Rattus norvegicus: one gene and its partners. The protein of the gene in region 2 interacts with the protein of the main gene of each other region in a biochemical or structural test. Links are inferred from orthologs where the notes say so. Each region holds a gene or a part of one and is shown on either strand. Other genes may lie near its edges.

Region 1 (3,516 bases), on a different chromosome or scaffold from region 2:
GATATGGGACTTTGGGCAAGGCTTTGTCAAAGGCCAGAAAAGGAACAGAACAACTAATTTGGTGAAGATCCCAAGCAAGGTGGACTATCTAGGACACGAGGGTGTTCAATGGGGATCATAAAATCAGTGGCATGTCCATTCTCATTGCTCCAGACAATAAATGTTTAACAAAAAATACAAAAATCAGACAAGCAAACAAAACAATGGTCTCAGGCATTATATCTAAAATAAATTTCTTTGACAGTATGATCACATGACTTACAAGGTATCATTTATAACAAAAATCTAACAATTTACAGCTGCACTTTTGTGCAGAGTACTCAGGAAAGAAAAGTATGTACAGTCATTTGTTTTGATGAATACCACTATTCAGTCCTGCAATACTGGGAAGGCGGAATGTATCTGGCACAAAAAGAACTCCTAAGAGTTACAAACTAGAAAAACAACACTTTTAAAAAAGATTTTTACTTTTCTGGTAGAAATATAAAAACTTGCTTGTGTGGGAAAGGTTAAAATAAAAAGTCCAATTGTACAGGTGGCTTGAACACTTAAAAGTTCTGTCCCTTAAACCAACAATCACCAGCAGCAGTGTTTACAATCTAAATATAAATAAATGGGCAGTGCCGCCCAAGTAGCAGCACAGAGCAAGCAACTCACAGTGATGCTGCAGGGTGATCTCAGTGCAGAGGAGGGAACCTTTCTAGTATCCTGCAGTAGGACACACAGTGTCACTTCATGCTGCCACCTGTAACTGAGTGTCCTCACAACTGTACCTTCAGTGGTACCAAAACTGACTGGTTTTAAAAAAAAAAACACGTGGGTAGGGGAGACAGGAGTCCATGGCAGACAACTATGTGGTCTTCCTGAATCCCTTTAAGATGGGGTAGATGTTTTCAAATGCTTCATAAATCTCTGCTCTAACTTTAGCACCTACAAAGACACATTGGAACAGAAACGAGATGGTTAAGTAACATATCTTAAAATAGAAAGTAACATCATTACCTTAAAACATAAGTACAGTTCTCTCCATACCCAATTAAGACAAAAAATGGCATTGAAACAAGTGGCGGGATCCTCTTATCACAATCCTAGCTGCTGCACCCCTCTACCACACTTCCTTTTTTTTTTTTTTTTTTTGAGACAGGGTTTCTCTTGTAGCTTTGGCTGTCCTGGAACTTGAAAACTTGAATAGACCAGGCTGGCCTGTCTCTGCCTTCCAATTGCTAGGAGGATTAAGGGTCATGTCCAGCTAGCTCTTCAGCTATGTTTTTAAAACAGTATTTTCTTAGTATTTTAAAAAGTGATACATCTAGTGACCTTTAAACACCCTAGACCATCATTTCCTCACTATATAGTTGGTCCTAGGCCAGGGTCCACAAGTCAGCAAGACAATATCCACTCCCTAGTCTAGTTCCTTCCCATACTTGGTCCTGAGTGACATAGTAGCTGAGAAGCACTGAGGACTGAAACCTTACTCTCCCAACAGTTGATGTTCAAGTGAACTCTTTTCAATCTTGTTATCTCAGAATTGTACTCTAATAATTTCAGTGCAGGGGCCAACTGAAAACAGGCAGTGTTCCCTCCCTGCCTGCCGCCACAATCGAGCTTAAGTAGCTGACAGCTATAGCAGCTGCTCTTCTCACTCTTCCACCCTTCTCATGAAGTTAGGATGGGGTGCAAAACTTCAACAAAAGCATCCTCCAAGTGGGCAGACAACTGTCCCAACACAGAAGATCCCATCCCAACGTCCTTTGCAGTTTCAGTACACCACTTCCCTTTCAACTTACCTGTTAATACAACTTTTCCAGAAACAAAAATAAGGAGAACAATTCTGGGTTTGATCATTCTGTAGATTAATCCAGGAAATAATTCTGGCTCATAGCTAGAAAGAAAATGGGAATACAGGTTAGAAATTAACAGTTTTTTGTGTTTCTAGATACAAAGAGGCTATGTGCCAGAAAGGACTGAGTGAGCAGTCCAGGTGTAGGAAGAAAACCTCTGCCAGTCAGGAGCCACGTATCATGGACATGGGGACTAATTACTGACTGCAGGTTCTCTCCTACCACTTAATGCTAGCTTCACAGATTCTAGATTTTCTGTGATGAAAACAAGACTTGTATGCTCAGTCTGATCGCTATTTAGAGTCACTTTTGAGTTAGTCTAGGTATAGCAGCTTATCAATACCTCACTATTCATTCCTAAGCTAAGAGTGACAGTCAGCCTTGTAATCATCTCGCCTTCCTGAATAGAACTATGCTGGAGCTGTTTTTCTAACATCTGAAATTAACATTAACCATCTACCTGAATTAACACTAGTTAATGTACTCTAACAGAGTGATCTCAGATTTCTTTGTTCTGCCTTTCTTGGGAGTGATCTGGAGATAAACTCAGGACAGGTCTATATGAGGAAGAGCAACATGAGCGAACTCCTGAAACTCAAACAGGAGTTTCTATGTTGAAAATTGTACCCAATATGGCAGGATTAAAAGTATCATGTGCAGAGGACATGGAGCAAGAGGAATCTGGTGAGTGTGAGGGTACTGGTGAGCGTGTGGCTGCAACTAGGAAACAGATGCCAAGATAAAGATATGAGTAGGGATGCTAAGCAAATACCCAGGCTGAGAAAGGCCAGGAGGAAACTGGGCAGTCCACCTCTGCAGCTCATCTGTACACTGTGCTGCTATGTTGTCACCAGGAGAAAAGTGATGGAATTAACTACCAATTCATGTATTTACATCTAGTGATTGACTAACCAACTGGTGAGCAGAAGTGAACTAAGTCATTCCAGTGAGAGAGTCAGGGTGTCATGTGACAAGGAAATGGGACTTGTAAGAACAGTAGAGAGAGAGCAGTAGCACAAGTGTAGCAATACCTTGTGTTTACAAATATTTAACTTCAACTACATCATACATGCTTAGAAACTGCACATCTTACGTGTAATTCATCCTAAATGATACCTGAGAAGATTATAAATGGACTGTTGGAAAACTCCTCCCCACACTTCTTAGACCTACCTACTGAACTGCTGGTGGGTCAACACAAGGCCTTCCAGCCTTATGGGGAACTTCACATCACAGCTCCCCACCATGTTCTGGATCTTGAAGTCTAAGAACTTAGCTGGGAAGCCCAGCTTCTGCACAACTCTAGCGTATTTTCTTGCTGCTAGTCTGGATTGTTCTTCACTACAGAAAGGAAAATCAGTGAGTTATATACGGAAGCTTAATGGAATAATTTAGACGAATAACAGAGTCTAAATTAGGAAAGTAAACTATTCCTGTGTCCTTAACAGAAACCATAAATCTACCAAAACTCAGCCTTCTATCTGGCACATTACTGCCAAGCCCTAGGATTTAAAGGACTCCATGTAGCCTGTGGTTCAATTAGCATGATCACATTCTGACCTATATTTTCTACTGACATGAAAACTTCATTTTTACCAAAAAAATTAGTAAAGTTTATTATTGAGGAAGACAAATTCTATCTTCCTTTACATCAAATCTCTATCCATTTTTAGGA
Region 2 (3,516 bases):
GTCCTTTCAGGCCCCCACTGAATATTTTTATTAATCACAGCACCCAGTTTTCTTTTGAGAGTAAAGTGTGGCTTGAACCTGTTTAAGGGTTTGATCAGACTTATACAGCAATCCAAACTCAGCCTGTCTGAGGTCCAAGTGTGTACCATGTGAGAGACTTTGAGAGGACAACTCTGGTTGTGGCCTAGACCTTAGATACAATCAGCTTCTGCCATGCTCTTCAAGGGACCCATTATTTAAAGATATCTTAGTTTGTCATCCCCCTCCTTTCATTTTAAAGATATAGAAGGTGCTTACTTAGTGATCAGATATTACTTAAAAGTTGTTAATGCACTTTGATCTGAATAGCGCTAATTTCTCTCAGTTACAATAGTCCTTAATTTTGTCAGGCACCCCTACTGGCTGGTTGTTACTTATGCCTTTATTGGTGTGTGTGTGTGTGTGTGTGTGTGTGTGTGTGTGTGTGTGTGTGTGTGTGTTCATTGTGAAAGTATGAGTATGTAAAACATTCTTGAATCTTAGCAGGAAAGTTTCCATGAAAAGAAATGAAGTCTAGGGTAATTGCTAGGATTCTCTGGATTTCCAGCCATTTCTAGAGAGCATGCCATTAAGAACAGTGAGCCCTCTCAGAGCTTTCTTTGTTTCTCTTTGTGAAATAAAGTGGGGTTGATGTACTATATTATTGTCAGAAATAATAGATTTTTTGGAATCAAGCACACTGGTGAACCTTAAAATAACTACTTATGTCAAGCATTTTAGATGTAATCTTTTGTGTACTGTAGAGGAAAATCCTGAATTTCTGTTCAATGCTTACATGTTCAAAGTCTTCTAAAGCGATATTTGAATGCATTTGTGGCACTTTAAAAATGACAGTAAGAGGCTGTTGTAGATTTAAAGTGATCATTATGTCCTCATGCCTACTAATCCCCCTCTTCTCAATCCAATGTAGTGGAAGTTGAAACTTACCGTTGAAGATGGCAGACCCAGATGTTCTCACTGAAGTTCCAGCAGCATTGAAGCGGTTAGCCAAGTATGTCATCCGGGGCTTTTATGGCATTGAGCATGTGTTGGCCTTGGACATCTTGATCCGGAACCCTTGTGTAAAAGAAGAGGACATGCTGGAGCTGCTCAAGTTTGACCGGAAGCAGCTTCGATCCGTTTTGAATAATTTAAAGGGAGACAAGTTCATCAAATGCAGAATGAGGGTAGAGACTGCTGCAGATGGGAAGACCACCCGCCATAACTACTACTTCATCAATTACCGCACTCTTGTTAATGTAGTGAAGTATAAGCTGGACCACATGAGAAGGAGGATTGAAACGGATGAGAGAAACTCCACCAATCGGGCTTCCTTCAAATGTCCTGTCTGCTGCAGCACTTTCACTGACCTGGAAGCTAATCAGCTGTTTGAACCCATGACAGGTGAGACCTACCCAGATGATGAATCAAGCTAAGATGTGTACTCTTTTAATTTCTGTTGTTCTAAATTGTAAGCCAATCATAGACTTTGTAGGAGTAAATAGATCAGTGCGAGTCAGCGTACAGTCTTTTGCATTGCCCTTTTCCTTCATAGGGAGGTCTACTTTTTTTTTTCCTTTTTTTCCGGAGCTGGGGACCGAACCCAGGGCCTTGTGCTCGCTAGGCAAGCGCTCTACCGCTGAGCTAAATCCCCAACCCAGGGAGGTCTACTTATCCATGGAGTTTTCCCACCACTGGCTCTCCTGAATTTCCTCCCTTCCCCATCCCAACCTTTATTTACTGTGGTAGCCTAATCTGAAGGATTGAGTTCTCTACCCCCTTGTGGTTATTCTGAGTTAATTGTGACCCCATTCTTCAGCAAATTATTTTAGTGTCTACTTATGTCAGTCACTGACAGGTCAGCTTATAAGCATATACTGTACTCGAGAGTTTGATAGTGGACTTGCACTGTGCTGAGAGGAGAGTGTAACTAGGATATGTGGTCTGCATTTGGGGAAGGTCTGTAGAAGAAGGAATAGGTGAGACCTGAAAGATTAAATGAGAATTAGCTAAATCAGGTAAGAGGAGAACCCTTTTTAACTTAACAAATGGATCAATAATACAAATCAGTTAATGAAAGAGAACTGTTAAAAGCATACATGATTTGCCTCATTTAATCAGATACTTTATTTTTAAGAATTTTCATGAATACAATTAATAAACCATGTTTTCCAAAATACAGAATATATACCATTAACACAAAAAACATTAAAGTGCTGGGTTAAATGGTTATTTTCAAACTAAGCATGAGACAAGTTCTGTCATATACTTGGAGAAACAGTTTTGTCTTGTTACCTTGCTTTGTCTAGGAGAGGGGTTTTTGGTTTGGTTTTGGTTGTTGTCCTTTTGTTTTTTGAGACTTGGTCTCCCCGTGTAACTTAGACTAGAACTCACTTGAATTCAATGTTGACCTTGAACTCCTATTGAACTCCTTCTGCCTCAGTCTCCAGAATGCTATGATTATGCACCACCACCACCATCCCCACCCCCTGCACTACCTTGCCTAATGCATTGGTTATTTTTGTTACTGTGATAAAAACAGCATGCCCAGAACTGACTGATGAAAGGAAGAGTTTATTTTGACTGACAATTGGGGCAGATGGAGCAGCAAGCTAAATCTTCAAGTACATGAAGCTGGAGCAACTAGTTATAGGTGGACTAATCTTATAAATGCTCAAAGTCTGGCCCCAGTGACATACTTCTCAGGCAAGGTTTCACCTCTTAAAGGTTAAACTCCCTAAGTAGTACCATCAACAGCCTATGGGAAACATTTCTCATTCAAAGGCCCATATCTAATTAGGAGAAATCTTATTTATTTATTTATTTATTTATTTTCCAAGACAGAGTCTACTTTATAGCCTAAAATCACCAGGAGCCAACTGTGCTGCTCAGACTGGCCTTGAACTCTTGGTAATCAGTCCTACCTCAGGCCCCTAATACTGGGATTATTATGAAGTAGTATGCTTGGCTGTGAGAGCTTGACCATAAGAAAACCTTAATTATCATGCTGGGTGTAACCATTGTTTGATTATACCAAAGGAATTTCTAGAATTTATTTGGAGCTCTTCCAAAATAAACTAGTTACATTTTAAGCTTTTGTCATTGACTCCTGACAGGTTTCTTAAAGAATCGTGGTTCTGGTGCTGTGGTTTTTGTTGATATTACAGTGGTTTTGTCTTATCTAGTTCTTCAAAACGATAATCTGTAGTAATTCTACATTTATTTGTCATTTGAGTCCTATTTAATTTTATGAAACTTCCTAAAAAATCACTGAGGTAATTGACCCAGGTTGCTCTTTGAATCTCACTCATGGTTAGGAACTAGTGAGGAACTAGTTGTAATCAACAGACAGCCTTTGGAAAGGTTGACCTGATTTACCAGGAGAGCTAGAGTTTATTAGAATCAAGGCCTTGACCGAGGGTAAAGGCATGAGAAGATTTTTTTCTGGAAGAAATCTGAAGCTGAAGCAGGAGTGTTGTAGTCAGGCTGAACAAAGCC
Region 3 (4,209 bases), on a different chromosome or scaffold from region 2:
TTCATTGAGTGCCAGTTGTCTCATAGTAATCTCAGAATAATAACATGATCACAATGAATACAGGACTGAGACACAGCTGTTGGGGCTGCAAAGGGGAAACAAGATTATGGGGGCTGGGGGAGTGGGGCAGTACCTTGACTACAGTTATGGTTTTAAAAAAGGAGTAAGAAAGACTGGTTGTTATGTATTCGATTCTGTGTAAGTTCATCATATTAACTTACTGGACTACCAAAGGGTGTCAGATGATATGCCGGAGGCTGGAAAAGAGGAAGGCTGAGGAGACAATTCTGTCAGACACCTTGTAGACATCGGAAATTCATCCCCTCAATCTCTTTTCAAACTCAAATGTACTCTCCCCCGTCTACAGATATGAAAACTGAACCCAGGGATACTGATACGACTCAGAAATAAAGCTAGGTGAGATTGTGGGCAGCGTATCTCAAAATAGCGTGTGAAATTTTTAATGGTTTGAATATTTAAGTTTGATGGGAGCTGGAAAAACGGCCCAGCATTAAAAGTACTGGCTGCTCTTCCAGAGGACCTAGGTTTGACTCCCAGCACCCACATGGCAGTTCATAACCAGCTATAACGGTAGTACCAGGAGATCCAATGCCCTCTTCTGGCTTCTGGGTCTTACTACATTCCCCTGACTCACAAATGTAGACCAGGCTAACCTCTCAAGCACTCAGATTAAAGGTGTGCAGCACCACAGGAGCACCTACTTGATAGCTCTGCTTTATTTATCTAACATAAATACGCAAGAAGCACAGATGCTCTAAACGCACAGAGGTGGAGGATTACCATGAGTTTAAGGCCAGCCTGGGTTACACAGTGAGTTCCAGGCCAGCCTGAACTACAGAAAGGAAGAGAATGAGAAAGGGAAAGATGAAAAGACAGGGAGAGAAGGGAAGGGAGAGGAAAGGAAGAGAGTAGGTTTTCTTTTCTCCTGTTACTTACAACCCTCTGCTGTATTATTTGTATTAATCAGACTTTAGTCACTGTGACCAAATATCTGACAGAAACAATTAAAGATTTATTTTGCACTGGGTATCTTAGTCTCTATCTGTGGAAAAGCGAGGAGGAGCACTGCAAGCTCACATCGCAATGGCCACGATATAGAGAAGATATAGACAGGGCCAGGGCAGCCCTAAGAACATACCGCCAGTATCTACCTCTTCCAACTAGGCCCTCACCTCACCACCTTTCACTACTTCCCAGAGACGCCATATTACAAATCCACCTAAGGAGTAACTAATCCCTTAATTAGATCATAGCCCTCATGACCTACTTTGCCTCCAGAAAACAGCACCACAAACACACCCAAAGGTGTGCTTCACTAACTGCATAAGCTCTTAATCTGATGAAACTGAGAAGACTAACCCCCACCCACTTTAGTTTTGTGTCTCTCTGATATACAGCCTTTTCAATTTCTTATATTCATCACACACTGGGAAAGTAATATGTGCCAAACACTAATCAAAGTGCAAAGAAAGTGACTTGGAGGTGGAGGCAATCAACACTGGGTACAGGTACAAAGAATCACCAGAAACTGTTAAATGGTTTGAAAAACTTAACATGGTCTGCAGAACTGGCAAACGGGAGCTGTTCAGAGTAATGGACAGGAAAAGACACCTTGTCTTGATGAGAACTCAGCCATGTGCTTAAAACATTGACACTCACTATAAAGATAAATCATTGATAAACCAACTTTGGGAAACGTTGATGATCCCATTTAAATACGGCTTTTTAAAACGAGATTTCCCACAGAGTAATAGTCCCCCAGTCCATATAAAAAATGTAACCCAAATAGATGGTGACCACTGGGGCAAACAAAGCCTGGCACGTGTCCGTTTAAAACATTTACTGATGGTTAAGTTTCATGAAACCTAAACTCGCTCTTTAAAAACACTAAGTCAACAAACTTCTCTTTGAATTCGGAACTTCCAGGTCTTTCGAAAACTCCAATTGGATTACCAACTCAGGGAACACTTTACCAGTGGAAAACTCCAATTGGATTACCAACTCAGGGAACACTTTACCAGTGTAAAGCGACAGAAGTCTTCCAGACCAGCAGAGAGAGAGAGAGAGACAGAGACAGAGACAGAGACAGAGACAGAGACAGAGAGAAAGAGAGAAGAGAAGAGAAGAGAAGAGAAGAGAAGAGAAGAGAAGAGAGAGAGAGAGAGAGAGAGAGAGAGAGAGAGAGAGAGAGAGAGATTCTGTTTCAAAACAAAACAGCAAAAGTTCACAGGGACCAGTTCCACTTTGTGGTCCAGAAAACTGTGTATCTACTCACCTAATTTATACACATTCATGACTAAAGTTAACCTTACCAAAACAAAGACAAAAAACAAACAAACAAACAAACCCGCAAGGGCTTTTCCGGCATGGGGTAAAATTTACTGCTTTCTCGGGAACATCAGGAAGGCCAGGTCTTGGCGGTAAACAGAGTTCTATGGTGGGCGGATGAAATTGACAGACAGACTGAAAGATGCCCTGTGGCCCCTAAAGTAAGTTCTCCAACCTGCAAACAGGCGCAACAGCGACCCGCTTCTCAGAACAGCGGTGGCCCGGGAAAGACAGACCCAGAACTTTCGGAAGCGCCCCGTGGGGCTCGCGTCTCACCTTCACCAGCCACACGCCGGTGTTCTGTTTGGCGCCCGTCAGATCGAGTTCCCCGCGCTCCGCCATAAGTTTGTCGTGTGAGGCGGCGTGCGCGCACAAGCAGCGACCCGGGACTGAACGTCAGAGAGCGATAGACAGTCCAGAGCCGGACGCTGGGACAAGTAGACCGCGAAAAGCCGGAGTGGCTCACCGGCCGGGAACTAGAAACTTAAGACGAGAGGAACACGCCGCTGAATGAAGAAGTGCGCCTGCGCACGGTACGTCCGGACAGCGTCCCGCGAGGGACAAATTTCCTGCTTCCGCAATTTCTCAGGTGGGTGTGACTCCTGCCAACATGCAAACCTGAGACCCAAGTGCAGAAAGGAAAAACCAAATCCTGAGTAGTGCATTTAAAGAAAAGGTGCCAAAAATGGGGGAAAAAAGGTTAAGACAGACAAAAACTGTATGTATTCATACCCAACCCTAGCTGAAGAGGCTAGGCATTTAAAGGACAGACTTAGGGGTAAAAGTCACTTTCTTGGCCCAATGTCATTGGCACAAGTGGGCACTAAGGTACAAGTGAGTATGCTGGACACATGCCTTTTCGAGACTTAAAAATAAGTTCACACGGTGCAAGAAGAATACACTCTTTCAGACGCCAAAGCCCAAATGCCATCTATTTGGGTCAGTAAGACCCACCACGCAAGAAATAAATCTGATTATTTAACTGCCCTGCTTAAACAGTTTCCTGTTGCAGGATATTTAATCACACTATGAACTCTGAGATTGTGAACTGGAAGAATCTGCTAATAACTGTGGCTCAGCCTTTGATCCCAGAACTTTCTGTTTACTGTAAACAAGTATTTGTGGCCTGGAACAGTATTGGTGCGCACACCTCGGTCCCAGAGCTAAATAAAGTCAACCCTAGATCAAGAGGCAGAGCAAGTAACCAACTGACAGAGAGTGAACATAAGCAAGAGAAAGGAGGCACTTTGAGTTGAAGGGTGTTGGAGAGTGCATGGAGAGCTGGTAGAGTAGGAAGGTCAGCTGGGTGCTTTCTCTGCCTCTCTGAGCTTGCCAGCTTTCATCACAGCTTCTGCCTCCTGAGTCTTCATTTGGTAATTTCCTCTGGCACTTGCCTTTGGAATGAAATTCTACCCTGTGTTTTACTGGGTCCTCTCAGTTTGATCCTCCTATTCTCACAATTCCACACAGGATTCCACACCAATCCCATCCACCTACATGAAGACTCCAGGCCCTTCCTCCTACCATTTCACTACCTCTTTGAAACCAACACCTGTGCCTTAGATACTCCCCCCGCCCCGTCCTTTTCTGGCCCTATCATTTGGCAAACGTCTACTTATAAACAAAGACAAGTAGAAAAGAAACAAAGACTACCAGGAAGAGAGACCCCCAGAGAGAGTTCTGTTTCTCCACACCACATTGTGTGATACTTAACACCGTACCATGAAAGGCATGGATACCGTTGTCTTCTACACTACTCGCTGAACTCCTAGACAGAAATACTGCTTGTGCCCCAGATTTACTGAAGCAGAATGGATGAATGCAAAATAATGCTTTATTCATTTTATAGGCACAACATCC
Region 4 (3,516 bases), on a different chromosome or scaffold from region 2:
ATTTAAAAAAAAAAAAATAAACGGGTTGGCAAAGGTGCAGGATAGAAGGCACACATCAAGGACAGCTCTTAGAACTCTCAGGCATACTCAAAGTGCCTCAAGTGTCCTTGGCTGAAGAGAAGAGGAACACATTCTATTTCCTACGTAAACAACTGAACAGCTCTTTTCCTAACTGGCTTCCAGTGCCAGCGATAATGAGCTGTAGAGCTTTCTGATGTCATTTATCGATGGGGACTGTTACCTTGTTCTAAGGCCTCCGCTCTTTTCCGTTTTGTCGCCATGGCTGGATTTGACTGTTCCTTTAATGCTTCCACTGGACAGTTTGGTCTTGGAAGCTGGCATCCAGGTGTTGGCCCTGGACGATTACTGAAGTACTTGGTCCTCAACGCCTTTTCAAAGAAAAGAAAGCAAGGTCTTATTCTTTTGTCCTATTTTGAGACAAGACGTCACTGTGGGGCACTGGCTGGTCTGTAACTTGTAGCTGTCTTCCTCCAACTTGTCTCTGAGTGCTGGGTACATAGCCATGTACCACCATGCCCAGCTCAAAAGGGGTGCTTTAAATGTTTGTACTGTGAGTAGGAAAATCTAGTCCCAAATTGTTGACAGCATTAAAAATAGTATGCAAATACTCTTATAGCACCAAACAAAAAATTAGCATCAAGTATTTGGACACAATACATAAATAAACACCCAGTATCCTGCAACTGGCTGATACTGTTGGCGGGGGATGTGGTTGGAGGATAGAAGTGGCACACTCCCTTCTAACATTTGTACAACCACAAAGCCCAAACTGGAACCAATAAATTACAAAACAATAATCTACTGTGAATGGTAAAAACTTGTTTGGGCCAATCCAAGGTTGCTTTAACCACTAGAGTATAATGTTCTAGAATTTACAGTTTTATATAAAAGTGGTTTCCTCTCAAATGACAAGTTTGTCAACTAATACCTATTTATAATATGCCAGTACTGTTAACAGCCACAGTGATTTATTTACTCTAGACTCTCTCCAACAGTCAAGAAGATCAGGTACTCTTATTTATAAAATGTTTTGAAGTATAATATTTTGATTATATTCCCCCCCTTTCCCAACTCCTCCCAGTTCCTCTGCGCCTACCCATCTTCATACTTTCTCTCAAAAACAAATAAACAAAAACAAAATGAAGTATTAATCTCAAGTATTTAGAGGGCACAGGAAGGTGGATCTGTGCGTTTGAGGCCAGCCTGTCTACAAAGTGAGTTCTAGGACAGCCAGGGCTACATGGAGAAACAAACACTGTCTCTAAAAACCAAACAAACAAAGAAACCCCAAAAGCAAAACCAAACCAAACAAAAAATTTACAAAAACCCAAACCTGACAAACTGCAGGGAGAGGGGGTGTCACACCTTGGCAGAGGCAGGACAGCCTGGTCTATAGAGTGACTTCAAGGACAGCCAGGACGACAGAGAGAGAGACCCTGCCTCAACTCCCCCTCCCCCTCAAAAGGAAGAAAGAGGTAAGAAGTTACCATTTCCAACTATGTCATACTGAAGTCAAGGCCAACTTGGTCCTGACTCAAAAATAAAGAGCTCAAATGAAGCAGGCTGGAGAGATTGCTCAGCGGTTAGGAACAATGGCTGCTCCTCCACAGGACCTATGTTTGGTTCCCAACATCCGCCCTTCAACCTTCTGTAAGTCTGAGTCAGGGGATCTGATGCCTTCTTCTGGCCTTTATGGACACTGTACATACATGGTGTATAAACATACATGCTGCCAAAACATCCATACACATAATTAAAACAATCCATCTGAAATCTGTCAGTGGCGTGAGAACACACACACCTCTAACAAGTGTAAACTCTTATGTGATGTTTGCATAACAAGACTTCCTATCAGCCAGACACTGTCTATAGCTTCAGGAAAGGACACAGACACACACACCAAAGATAGACCTCTCGCCCTGGTATTTAAGGATATTAAAAACTTTAGAAACCTGAGTTTGTTTTATTAATGCTGCTGAGTACCTGTGAAGCTGTAATTCTAGTACATGGGTTGAATAAGAACAAGCCTTGTATGAGCTCAAGCAGGTCGTCTCCAGCTGCAATGAAGATGTGCTGCAGGGGGATGCCAGGGAAACTCTTGAACGTCACGTAATCTGGAAGACTACACATGTCCTGAAAGACAAGTAGGATTCAAATTTAAGTAACGTATCCAAAGACACAGAAATGGAAGAAAGTAACAAAATGTGGCCTGTTAAGATAGTCTGTGTAGAAAATCCTAAGAAAACTACTCATAGAGAAAAACAAATTAGAACTGGTAATATGTAAAGAGTAGAAGACATAGCATAAATGTATCTTAAAATCATAGTTCTACAGACCCACAACAAACATGTGAACACAAGAAAGAATGGATTCTCCAAAAAACAGGGTTAAAATTCTGACATTTTACACATGTAAACAAGTTAATCTGAATTTTATATACAGAAGTAAAAGTCTAGTTAGTTGAAAAAATTTGGAAAAGAAACTAGTGTTAGTTCTTACATGTACATATTTTAAGACCCAACAGAGCAACTTCAATTCATACTGTGTGCTAGTGATGGAGAGACAGGGGGATCAGTGGAGTACACAGCGAACCCAAGATCCACAAGTATCTGCCAAGCACAGTTCTGGAAAGGCATGAAGGAGTTCTGTCAAGCCTTTCCAACAAACAGTGCTGCAGCATGTGGACACCAAGCACGAAAGTACAGCTCGGGATAGGTAAGGTAATGCCCTCCATAATCCCACCACTGCAAAGACCACATAGGAAGCTGCAGGCCCTAATCAAACAAACAAACAAGAAAACCAACCCCAAATAAACCAAAACCAAAACGTTCATTTAGGAAATTGAGAAATAATATGAGACATTCCTTAGATATTAACTTTAGCTTTGGATATTTTTGTTATAGTTTTAACAAGATGATAAAAATTCTGCTTAAAGTGTCCACCTTTCTTCCTTTTTTGGTGAGAGAGGGAAGCAAGAACTTGTGTGGTGTTTATATGCCTGTGCTATCTGACTGAATCTAGAGTTAGGCTATAGCACTAGCCAACCAGCAAGTCTCCTTGCCTGTGCCCACAGGGCTGTGCCCACAGGGCTGTGCCCACGGCAATGGGGTCAAGGCATGCTGTACTTTTTTTCTCTCTTTTTTTTCTAAGGTTGCTGAATATTGGAATTCAGGCCCTCATGCTTGAGCAGTAAGTACTCCTAACTACTAAGACATGTCTACAGGCCCCAGAATTCATTTTCTTCACATTTATTTGCTCCTCAGAGCTTGGGACTACAATGGGAATAAAAAGCCAAAAGCTTCTCAACTTTAAGAATCTAAGTAAGGGGGCTGGAGAGATGGCTCAGTGGTTAAGAGCACTGACTGCTCTTCCAGAGGTCCTGAGTTCAATTCCCAGCAACCACATGGTGGCTCACAACCATCTGTAAAGAGATCCGATGCCCTCTTCTGGTGTATCTGAAGACAGCTACAGTGTACTTATATATAATGAATGAAT
Region 5 (3,516 bases), on a different chromosome or scaffold from region 2:
AATGAACCACCAACAACTTCAGCAAAGTGGCGGGAGACAGAATCAACCTGCAGGAACCAACAGCTCTCCCACACCACCAGCATACAGAGAAAGAGAACAGGGGCAGACACACACCCATTCACCACAGCGCCAAAGAAAACGAAGTCCCTAGGAATAAACCTAACCAGGGGGGTGAAGACCTACACAATGAGAGCTTTAAATCACTGGAGGATGAGGCTGAGGAAGACAGGAAAACGGAAAGACCATCCCATGCTCATGAGCTGGGAGAACTAATATTTTTAAAATGGCCATTTCTATCAAAAGCCATAAACAGATTCAATGTGATCCCAATTAAAATCCCCACAACTTTTCTTCAGAAAAAAGATATCCCATGTTTCTTTCAAATAGAACCAGAAAAGACCCCAGATAGCCCAAGTAATGAAACACCACAGGACAGCAGCAGAGGAAAGGACTTCCTGAACGGGATTCCATTTGCCTAGAACGCAGGTCCAGCAACTGACAAGTGGACTGCAGAGAACTAAAGAGCTTCTGCGCAGCTAAGAATACTCAGTTGAGTGAAGAGGAAGCCTGCAAGTGGGAGAGAATTTTTGAAAGCTATATATGACAGAGGGTTAATGTCCAGAATTGTACAACAAAAACTCAAAAAGAGTCATAAATTAGAGGGAGAAGCAGGGAGGGGAGGGATTAGAAGGGTCGGAGGGAGAAGAGGGAAAGAGTGATGTAATTATATTTTAATTAAAAATAAAATTGGGGCTGGGGATTTAGCTCAGTGGTAGAGCGCTTACCTAGGAAGCGCAAGGCCCTGGGTTCGGTCCCCAGCTCCGAAAAAAAGAACCAAATAAATAAATAAATAAATAAATAAATAAATAAATAAATAAATAAAATTGTCTGGAGAGATGGCTCAGCAGTTAAGACCACTTACTGCTCTTCCAGAGCACCTCAATTGGATTTCCAGCACTCACACGGCAGCTAACAATTGTCTAACTTCAGTCCTGGGGAATCCAATGTCCTCTTTTGGCCTCCAACGGCACTCATGCATGTGCTATACAGACACACATGCAGACAACCACCCGTACTAACCAAATAGTTTAAAAGAAAACTTAATACTTGATATATTGGATGGAAACTAACATAACAGTGGTTTTAGTGCAGTCCTCCTATCCAGGTCATTCTTTTCATCAAGCTGCTAGTTTAAGAAACCGGCAACCCTCCACTTAGACCACACCCACACCATCAGTACTGCTCCTTTACTCCTCTTCTTGGAGGGCTAGTAGCACATTGGACTCTCTGCGAAGTGCAAAGCCCTCTGCTACTACGTCCCCATGCATGCAGCACCTACTTCCCCATGCATGCAACACCTACTTCCCCATGCATGCAGCACCTACGTCCCCATGCATGCAGCACCTACGTCCCCATGCATGCCGCACCTATGTCCCCATGCATGCAGCACCTATGTCCCCATGCATGCAGCACCTATGTCCCCATGCACGCAGCACCTATGTCCCCATGCATGCAGTACCTACGTCCCCATGCATGTAGCACCTACGTCCCCATGCATGTAGCACCTACGTCCCCATGCATGCAGCACCTATGTCCCTATGCATGCAGCACCTATGTCCCCATGCATGCAGCACCTATGTCCCCATGCATGCAGCATCTATGTCCCCATGCATGCAGCATCTATGTCCCCATGCATGCAGCACCTATATTCCCATGCATGCAGCATATATGTCCCCATGCATGCAGTACCTATGTTCCCATGCATGCAGCTTCTATGTCCTCATGAATGCAACACCTATGTTCCCATGCATGCAGCATATACATCCCCATGCATGCAGTACCTATGTTCTCATGCATGCAGTGTCTACATCCCTATGCATGCGGCACCTATGTTCCCAGGCAGCATCTGTGTTACTAGGCAGCATCCTGGTGCTAAGGGCTCTCATTCCTCCCTGTTCTCTGAACCCCAATCCTCACCCACAAATTATATTGTAATAAATGTGTCTGTTAATTTGTTTGTGTGTGTGCAGGAGATGAACCCAGAGTCTCTCTTGCACATGCTAGGCAAGAGCTTTATCACTAAACAAGTAACAAAAGCCTTACAAAAACACTTTAAGGTTAAATATCCTAATTATTATAATATAAATAAAATAATATCATTCAATATTAAAAGGGTTTTCTATTGCTCTGTATCAAACTGAGAACATGGTATGAAAGATTCAAAGGAATCTTTGGATAATTCAAGAGGATGAACTACGGCTACATTCATGATCAAGAAAATTCTGCAGGGCTGGCAGGATGGCTCAGAGGGTAGGGTGACTGACAGGTATAAGGCAAGTTCCACACCAGTGACTGTCCTACTGGGCAGATGGGAAAGGAGGGCCACGCTGTCAGGCAATGAGCAGCAACACTGGGTTGCAGATGGTGCTAACAGTCACTACAGTTTCTCAAACTCACCTCAATCAGAAGTCTATTTCCCAGAGGCCACCCTGCTCCGGCTCTTGAGCAGCAGTCACTTAAAAGTGCTAAGATGGATAGCTTTGTCATTCCCTCAGAGACTCATCTTTGACTCTGGATTTTAACACATACCTGTCCAAGTATTCACTAAAAAACAGTATTGGAAAAGTGTGTTCCCAGAAACAAAACCAGAAGGACCAATTTCTTCAGGGACTGTGGCACTGGGATTAGCCTTAGTGGTTGCCCTCAGAGGCTGCGGCGGCAGCGGCCGCAATCCTATAGAGTGAAGGTGGGCAGCAGGCAGCCAACTGTGCAAAGGCATGGTCTGTACCCGCTTGCACGTAACCATGTGACAGAGACAGGGATTCCCGTGCACTCCCCTATCAAGTGTGGCTCACCTTGAGAGACGGGGACTACAGTACGCCATGCTTATTCATGGGTCCTGACCTGCTTGCCTGCCCAGGAGGAGTTTATCGGAAGGTTCCTTCCGTTCCCCTGGGAGGAGCCCTTACTTGGCATACCACCCAGGGTGCAATACCTCAGCACACTGGACTTTGGCGATGTACCCATTGTTCTGCAGCTCCATCCAGTTGGCTTCGTAAAGCTTGGGTCCGATCAAGAAATTTAAGTCAACAATTTTGTCATCTTCCCGGACGAGGGTTGCAGTCAAACCAAGCTTACAGTGGGCCTGCACAATGGTCAGCACTCGCCGGAACATCTTGGCTGCAAGAACAGAAGAAACGGCTACATCATCACTTTCCACACTGAGAAGGAACCATGCCGCTCGCAACTCGGCACTGCTCTGTGGTATCCTGTGGGTAGCCTGGCTACTAGAGAGTGGAAGTCTGGTTCCAGATAAGAATATTTACCATGGCTTTTAGACCTGTTCAAAAGACAGAAAGAAGAATAGAGGACAAATGACCTCAGGGAGTTACCAGCTCACAAATGCCAGCATTCACCTACCAACACTGTCAAGAGCCCAGACACTGAAAGCAAATTTGACTTGACTCCAAGCCACACAGGTCACTCAGGCTGGAGCCTGTCCCCAGGACACAGCTG

Evidence for each region.
Region 1: the proteins of Gtf2e1 (region 2) and Tbp form a complex in vitro, tested with the Homo sapiens proteins (3 studies listed by BioGRID). The link is inferred for Rattus norvegicus from reciprocal best matches to the Homo sapiens genes GTF2E1 and TBP.
Region 3: the proteins of Gtf2e1 (region 2) and Gtf2f2 form a complex in vitro, tested with the Homo sapiens proteins (2 studies listed by BioGRID). The link is inferred for Rattus norvegicus from reciprocal best matches to the Homo sapiens genes GTF2E1 and GTF2F2.
Region 4: of the proteins of Gtf2e1 (region 2) and Cdk7, one has a biochemical effect on the other in vitro, tested with the Homo sapiens proteins (3 studies listed by BioGRID, with this or other methods). The link is inferred for Rattus norvegicus from reciprocal best matches to the Homo sapiens genes GTF2E1 and CDK7.
Region 5: the proteins of Gtf2e1 (region 2) and Ercc3 form a complex in vitro, tested with the Homo sapiens proteins (2 studies listed by BioGRID). The link is inferred for Rattus norvegicus from reciprocal best matches to the Homo sapiens genes GTF2E1 and ERCC3.

What each region holds. Positions count from the first base shown.
Region 1 is NC_086019.1:65,150,204-65,153,719, reverse strand, and holds the end of Tbp (TATA-box-binding protein), read right to left. Parts: intron 3,183-3,516; coding exon 3,015-3,182; intron 1,883-3,014; coding exon 1,788-1,882; coding exon of another isoform or gene 1,657-1,787; exon of another isoform or gene 939-1,656; intron 931-938; coding exon 851-930; 3' UTR 205-850; downstream 1-204. UniProt on the Homo sapiens protein: The TFIID basal transcription factor complex plays a major role in the initiation of RNA polymerase II (Pol II)-dependent transcription.
Region 2 is NC_086029.1:76,690,818-76,694,333, forward strand, and holds part of Gtf2e1 (general transcription factor IIE subunit 1), read left to right. Parts: intron 1-949; 5' UTR 950-974; coding exon 975-1,422; intron 1,423-3,516.
Region 3 is NC_086033.1:57,733,675-57,737,883, forward strand, and holds the start of Gtf2f2 (general transcription factor IIF subunit 2), read right to left. Parts: upstream 2,804-4,209; 5' UTR 2,692-2,803; coding exon 2,626-2,691; intron 1-2,625. UniProt on the Homo sapiens protein: TFIIF is a general transcription initiation factor that binds to RNA polymerase II and helps to recruit it to the initiation complex in collaboration with TFIIB.
Region 4 is NC_086020.1:33,575,474-33,578,989, forward strand, and holds part of Cdk7 (cyclin-dependent kinase 7), read right to left. Parts: intron 2,155-3,516; coding exon 2,005-2,154; intron 390-2,004; coding exon 242-389; intron 1-241. UniProt on the Homo sapiens protein: Serine/threonine kinase involved in cell cycle control and in RNA polymerase II-mediated RNA transcription. Cyclin-dependent kinases (CDKs) are activated by the binding to a cyclin and mediate the progression through the cell cycle.
Region 5 is NC_086036.1:24,171,326-24,174,841, reverse strand, and holds part of Ercc3 (general transcription and DNA repair factor IIH helicase subunit XPB), read right to left. Parts: intron 3,181-3,516; coding exon 2,996-3,180; intron 1-2,995. UniProt on the Homo sapiens protein: ATP-dependent 3'-5' DNA helicase/translocase. Binds dsDNA rather than ssDNA, unzipping it in a translocase rather than classical helicase activity. Component of the general transcription and DNA repair factor IIH (TFIIH) core complex.